2 linked regions of the Arabidopsis thaliana genome follow. The protein of the gene in region 1 interacts with the protein of each later gene in a pairwise test. Each region holds a gene or a part of one and is shown in the gene's direction. Other genes may lie near its edges. The genes, in order: AGL38 and AT4G36590.

Evidence for each region.
Region 2: the proteins of AGL38 (region 1) and AT4G36590 interact in a two-hybrid assay, tested with the Arabidopsis thaliana proteins (one large-scale study listed by BioGRID).

The regions. Positions count from the first base shown.
Region 1 is NC_003070.9:24,252,880-24,256,613, forward strand, and holds AGL38 (AGAMOUS-like 38), read left to right. Parts: upstream 1-2,049; coding exon 2,050-2,886; 3' UTR 2,887-2,978; downstream 2,979-3,734. UniProt on the Arabidopsis thaliana protein: Probable transcription factor involved in the development of gametophytes and seeds.
Region 2 is NC_003075.7:17,260,412-17,264,272, reverse strand, and holds AT4G36590 (MADS-box transcription factor family protein), read left to right. Parts: upstream 1-2,045; 5' UTR 2,046-2,083; coding exon 2,084-2,416; intron 2,417-2,713; coding exon 2,714-3,127; 3' UTR 3,128-3,336; downstream 3,337-3,861. Other genes in the region: AT4G36600 (Late embryogenesis abundant (LEA) protein), read right to left, coding at 1-151, 393-625; AT4G36580 (AAA-type ATPase family protein), read right to left, coding at 3,612-3,861.

The DNA.
Region 1 (3,734 bases):
TGTTTGTTCCAACTCTCTCTATTGCGTTAGCGTAAGTAACCTGCAAGATCTGTAAATTAATTACTAATTGTTATTTATTATTCACACATGGGACATCATAAAGTTGTCTTGGTGATAAATTTAGTCAATATGTGTGTGTGGGTTAAGAGTGTTGACTATACCAGTTTCCCCGTGATTGATTGGCTTTTATTAAATCGGACAATTTGCATTTATATTCACAGGTCATGTTTATTAAACTCTACATTGCTGTCTAATGTCTATAGTACACCAAGTCTATTGGTGATTGAAATGTCGGAGAACGGTATAGTTTTTCTGTTCTTACAATAAAAAGGTAGATTAAGAACACTGATTAACTCAATGTAACCCATACACTTACACGTCGGGTCAATCTTGAGCGGTGATCTTTTGGGTTTACCTCTAACCCCGGACTGGTTAAACACTTTTCTCACCTCACCACATCAAAGCCATAATCAGGGCCCAAATTTGAGTGCCTACAGCAAAAAGATTTTGGCCCAATAACAAAAAACTGTTTTTTAAAACAATTACAAAATTTTCGTCTAAATTAGATTCAAAACTGTATAGTAAAATGTTTGGGACTAACCACTAAACTACAGTCACATTTTTGAAAATGATGACTCTAAAACAAGTTATAATTATTTGCTGCGTAATACCCTTGCTTCATGGGATTACGTGGAGAAGAAGAGTAAGTATCAATCAATTTATTGCTAGAGATTTGCAAAAGGGGGAATCCGTGTGCAGAGGTGTCTAGATGAAGCCATGAGTCTACAGCGGAGTTTGAATTTGCGGTGGATGAGTTACGGTGGAGATGACATTTTCCAAACATTACAAGCCTTAACACGTGTACCTACTGAGATTTTGATAGAACTTGAAATTGTTTCCCAAATAAACCTCTTATTCGGAAGTTAGGTTTTGGACTCAAAATGGATGGGATGCATCATGAGGTATGAGATATGTTTCCCAATGTAGTCTCCGGCGATGAGATTCTTTATCACCATTTTTATTTAACGTTAATACTTAAATCTTTGTAAGACAGAAAAAGAATAAGATGTTAGTCAAGATTAGAATAACGAGACCTAATTTGTGAAATTTTCCGTAGCTTTTTGTGGATAATAGTTTGTTTAGTAAAACTGATCCGAATTAATGTGAACTCGTAAGACTCCTCCATCTCAATGGAGCGGCTAATTAGAACAACTACTAAATTGTGACAAATCTAAGGTTGTCTCACATAATTCAAGAGTTTAAAATATGGTATAGTCTTAGATATAGATATCTTATACCAATATTCATAATTTGCTAAAGCTAACTAGACATTCCTAGATAATTTACCGCCAAGAAAACTAATTAATTGGATATGTTTTTCTTTTCTCTATAATTTTTGTATATTTAATTAATGTAAATATACAAAATTATATCAAATATATTATTTCCTTATATGTTTCATTTTAATCATTTTTTATTAAAATGAATAATTGGACACCTAGATAGCTAGGCCAAAACAATTTTTGACATTCCATTGACTTATTTACCCAAAATGGAAAGTGTGGGTGATTCTGGCTGTTTAGATGCTTAGACATAATCTTACTTTCTATCCAACTAATTATTACCTGTAACTGTAAGTTTCAATTTTAGGCATTTTATATTAATTATATTAAAATAAAAATAATAACAAATAGAAAAATGTATAGAGAAGAAAATATCTTAAATTACCTTTGAAATATATATTTTCCTTTAAATGGACTTTCTATATAAAAAATAAATCACATTACATATATGATACAATTTTCCCCCTAAATGTCTGGTTTTATGCCCCCCAAAAGGTAAAATATCTATATGGGCTGTCTATAAAGATAAATGATTATCACTTTACCATCAATCACATGCCAACACGTAAGGGTGAAAGTAATACCATATCCTGAAAATAAAAATTGAAAATAGTCCAGCAAAGCAATAAGAAACACATTTTATCTAGTATATAAACAATCGTCCTCATGCTAACAAAGCAAAACACATATAACAAAAACAATAGATATGAAGAGAAAGATGAAGTTATCGTTAATAGAAAACAGTGTATCGAGGAAAACAACATTCACCAAAAGGAAGAAAGGGATGACGAAGAAACTAACCGAGCTAGTCACTCTATGTGGTGTTGAAGCATGTGCGGTCGTCTATAGTCCGTTCAACTCGATCCCGGAGGCTTGGCCGTCAAGGGAAGGCGTTGAAGACGTGGTGTCGAAATTTATGGAGTTGTCGGTGTTGGACCGGACCAAGAAGATGGTGGATCAAGAGACTTTTATAAGTCAAAGGATCGCCAAAGAAAAAGAGCAGCTGCAGAAGCTACGTGATGAGAACCATAATTCTCAGATTCGGGAGTTAATGTTTGGTTGTCTCAAAGGGGAGACGAATGTGTATAATCTTGATGGAAGGGATCTTCAAGATTTGAGTTTATATATTGATAAGTATCTTAATGGTCTTACTCGCAGGATTGAGATCCTTATTGAGAACGGTGAGTCTTCTTCATCTTTACCTCTTCCTATTGTTGCGAATGCAGCTGCACCAGTCGGATTTGATGGTCCTATGTTTCAATATCATAATCAAAATCAGCAAAAGCCGGTTCAATTCCAATATCAGGCTCTTTATGATTTTTATGATCAGATTCCAAAGAAAATTCATGGTTTTAATATGAATATGAATAAGGATTCGAATCAAAGTATGGTTTTGGATTTGAATCAAAATCTTAATGATGGAGAGGACGAGGGCATTCCTTGCATGGACAACAACAACTACCACCCCGAAATCGATTGTCTCGCTACCGTCACCACTGCCCCCACTGATGTTTGTGCTCCTAACATCACCAATGATCTCTAGTCTAAGGGATGTATTTCGAGTGAAGTGTTTGATCGTTTGCATTTGTGTTTTCTCCATTTTATAAGACAAAACTTATATGTGATGTCTTTTTTATTATTATTAATTGTTGGACAATTCTTGCGTCCACACTTATCTTATTTACCCTTTCTTAAGTTCCTTATTAAACTTTACATTTTTTTTAACACCATCAAAAACTTTCTCTTTAAGTTGTTTATTACACTTTACATTTATTTTACACCATCAAAAACTAAGGTCACTAAATAAAAAAAACTATGAAGCCTCATTTTCCCATAGGAGCAATGTGAGACATAGACAAATTGAGTAAACAATTACATCACTTGGTAAACAATTTTTTTAATATTTAATTAGTATTGGTTGTTATTGATTTAAATTTTATATCACTTTCTAAATAATTTAAAATCGTATATTTGTATCAAGTGATGCAAATGGATTTAGATTTGTATCAATTTTAGTGAACTGATGCCACATAAACTAATACGACATCGATTATTGCAATTGATGTTAAACTATAATTCTTGTATCGATTGTAAACAAGTGATTCAAATTAATAGCATTCAATTTTTTTCATGCAACTACTTTTTTGTTTGTAGTATTTGTTGGATAGAACGTAATGTTATGGCTTAACATTTAAACGGCCAGAACTATCCACACTCTCCATTTTGGACAGATCAAGCAATGGAAGGTCAACATTGTTTTGGCTTAACCATCTAGGAGCCCTATTTATTTGTTTTTAATTACATTTTAAGAAAAATGACTAAAAGAAAAAATACAATGAATTAATATATTTAGGATAATACAGTATTCAAATATTTACATTAATTTAATAT
Region 2 (3,861 bases), on another chromosome or scaffold:
ATGAGCACTATCGTAAGCAGATCCGGCTTTGTCTGATGCAAAGTCCTTGGCGTAACCCGCATTGTCATAGGCGGATCCAGCCTTGTCATAAGCGTAGTTCTTCGCAGATTCAGCCGCTTCTTCTGCCTCAGCTTTCTTGCCTCCCAATCCTCTGTTACAATATTGGATCAATCATCTATATATTATCATTCTTAAATCACTTCACAGTTTGAAATGCAAATGATGCGTAACATGCGTTTATATATATACATTTCAAATTTCTCTTAAAACAAAACTCAGATCTACGTTTACAATTTGAAATCAAACACTATGAGAAGATGGTTCCATTAGAAGAAACCAACACAGATCCAAAATAGAAGTATGATCATGCCTAAACAAAAGTTAACGCTTACGTGGAAATTTTGTCGGAAACCCAACCAGCCCAAGAGGCGGTTTTGTCCTTTGTGTCATGAGCCGCATCGGACGCCATTTTCTTAGCGGTCTCGGCTGCGTTTTTAGCATGCTCTGCTTCGTTTCTAACCATATCCTCTGCTGTCTCCGTTCCCCATCCATAGCATTGCTTCTGCCACGTCAGCGTCACCACCGTCGTAAGCATCATAATCATCATCAACGTTCTTCTCTCCATTATTCCTATTCTTTAAAATTCCGATTTTTTGTTTTGTTTCTTGGTTCCAATCTTCATGGAGGAAGTTTCTAGTTATAGATGAGCGAGAGAGGGAGAGATCACATTCCTTTCTTTCACTAGATAAGCGGTTATTGTAAGACACGTGGTTATTCGATGATTACGTGGTTATTCGATGTTTACGTGGCAATTAAAGAGGCGGTTATGCTGGAAGTGCTTGCGACGTGTCCACTTGTGGTTCGATTTTGTAGGGTTAGTGTCTCCCGACCCGAGGTCACGTGGCCGGTCGCGTAGAGGAAGTTTCAATACTTGGAAAGATTAAAATAACCGGTTTAGAAAACCGAAGCCATGCGCTTAGCAGGGTTACAAACCGGATAATCCAGTAAAAAGGTAAATCAGAAAGTGTTTATTTTTTTACCTTTCTTAGTTAATCCAATGTTTTTTTTTTGTCATCTCATTTTTAAAGAAAACTGTTTTTTTTTTGGTTCAACCAAGAAAATTGATTTAAACCATAAAAAAACAAAACTAAGCCCAACAAGAAACCCAGCATGAGCCCAACCGAAAGTGAGAGAGGTGAAGAAGACACCAATTTTAAACGTTTTGACGATACAATTACAAAGTTTTCTAATAAGATAAGTCAGATAGTGTAAACTTTCACAAAAAATCAATTATATAAAATAATTTAAAATATTTATAAGAATCAATAATGATTATTGTAATATTCAAACATTTTATTTAAGAACAAAGATAGTTAAAAATCAACAATATTTGAGTATAAATCATTTTATTTATATCTTAGAAATGTTAATTTCAATAAACATAACTCACTATCATTATGAAAAATATATCTAGTAAATGGTATATATCTAAATTAAAAAAATTTGGGCCCATAACTCAAAATCTTTTGAATTTCATTTAATAATTTTTTTTATTATGTAAAGTACAACTGTATATTTTATCTAGTAATGATTGTGATATCTCAAAAATAGATAAATTTTGTTTTACTGTATAAATATTACTTGCATTAGCTGTATACAAACAAATAATTTAATGGATAATTTTGTTCAAGATTTTTCCCAAAAATATAGATTAAGTATTTTAACAAACAGCTCATAAAATTTTAATGTGCCTCTCATGGGCAGTTGGTGCATACATTTGTCAAACTGTTATGCATTTACCAACTAATATAATGATATTGCATTTGAAATATCATGAATTTTATATCCTTAAGAAATTTTAGAGATAATTATGTCCTTAAGAAATTTCAGAGATAATTATGAAATATTCCTCAAATTGGAAAATTAATTTTTTGGCAAAATTAAGGGTTGAAGGATTATGTTTACTTATAATGGACCTATAATGTATTACATTTCCATATGTAATACACCTGTATAAATATAAAGAACATATTTTATTTCTTAGCATCAAATTTGTCATTTGTTTATTCAAATTTTTGAGAAAATGGTGAGAAGTACCAAAGGTCGTCAGAAAATAGAGATGAAAAAAATGGAAAACGAAAGCAACCTTCAGGTTACTTTCTCAAAAAGAAGATTCGGTCTTTTCAAAAAAGCTAGTGAACTTTGCACATTAAGTGGTGCAGAGATTCTGTTGATTGTGTTCTCTCCTGGTGGGAAAGTGTTTTCTTTTGGCCATCCAAGTGTTCAAGAACTCATTCATCGCTTTTCGAATCCTAACCATAATTCTGCCATTGTCCATCATCAGAACAACAATCTCCAACTTGTTGAAACCCGTCCGGATAGAAATATCCAATATCTCAACAATATACTCACTGAGGTAAACAATTTTGTTTTAAAGAAAAATGCAAGAGAATTATATATATATATATATATATATATATATATATATATATATATATATATATATATATATATGCCAATTCTATGTCTATAACTTAATTTGTTAAGGGAAAAAGAGACCATCAATAGTTAGATTGTTTTCAAATCGTATCCATAGTTAGATTGTTAAAGATATCAAATGGTATCCATAGTTAGATTGTTTTCTTCAAAATGTTCAAATATATAAACCATATCTCGTTTTTTTCACAACATGATGAAATGAATCTCATTGCAGGTGCTGGCAAACCAGGAAAAGGAGAAACAGAAGAGAATGGTTTTGGACCTATTGAAAGAATCCAGAGAACAAGTAGGAAACTGGTATGAAAAAGATGTGAAAGATCTCGACATGAATGAAACCAACCAGCTGATATCTGCTCTTCAAGATGTGAAAAAGAAACTGGTAAGAGAAATGTCTCAATATTCTCAAGTAAATGTTTCGCAGAATTACTTTGGTCAAAGTTCTGGCGTGATTGGTGGTGGTAATGTTGGCATTGATCTTTTTGATCAAAGAAGAAATGCATTCAACTATAATCCAAACATGGTGTTTCCCAATCATACACCACCAATGTTTGGATACAACAATGATGGAGTTCTCGTTCCGATATCCAACATGAACTACATGTCAAGTTACAACTTCAACCAGAGCTAGAGTCTGAAGCTAGAAGAACATCCTAATCAATATTTGCGTTATTTTGGCTATGGTTACTGTTAGGATTGTTCTTGTATTGTGAGACTTAAGTTTGTTTTTTCTTTTAATTTGTTTCAGTTGGTTGGTTTTTCATTTTATTCGTCGTTTGTTTTCCTTTGTTTTTGGATATTTTTGTATCCAGAATAAATTTATTTATCCTTTAATTTTACTTATATTTTTATTTTTATTTTGCTATTTAAGCTTAATGTTATATACTGAAATCAAACCAGATTTACAAATGAACAAAACAATTTTTTAAGAAACCCTCATCAGACAGAAATGAATCTAATGTTAACAACGAGAAGTGTTCATATGTAAGACTTCAAGATTCTGTAAAACTCTTTAACATGTTTAATCTAAAAATTCAATTTTAGGACTCATTTTAAAACAATCAGATTCTTCTTTCTGATCAAGTAAATGACATGTATAATCAAAATCCAAATGACTAAGAGAAGAGTAATGGCTGAAAACCTTCAGAAGCAAGCATATGCCTTCGGTGATGTTCTTCAACCTTATATTCAACAATCTCTTTAAAAAGCTGTGAATCCAAAACACAATCCGCTCGTCCGTACACTCCAGCTTGTACTCCAGCCACAAGCTTTGCAATCTCACGGCCAGAGAATCCTTCTGTCTTCTTTGCAGCCTCAGAAATCACTTTATCAGTTAAGTCTTCTTCAACGGTAATCTTCTGTGAC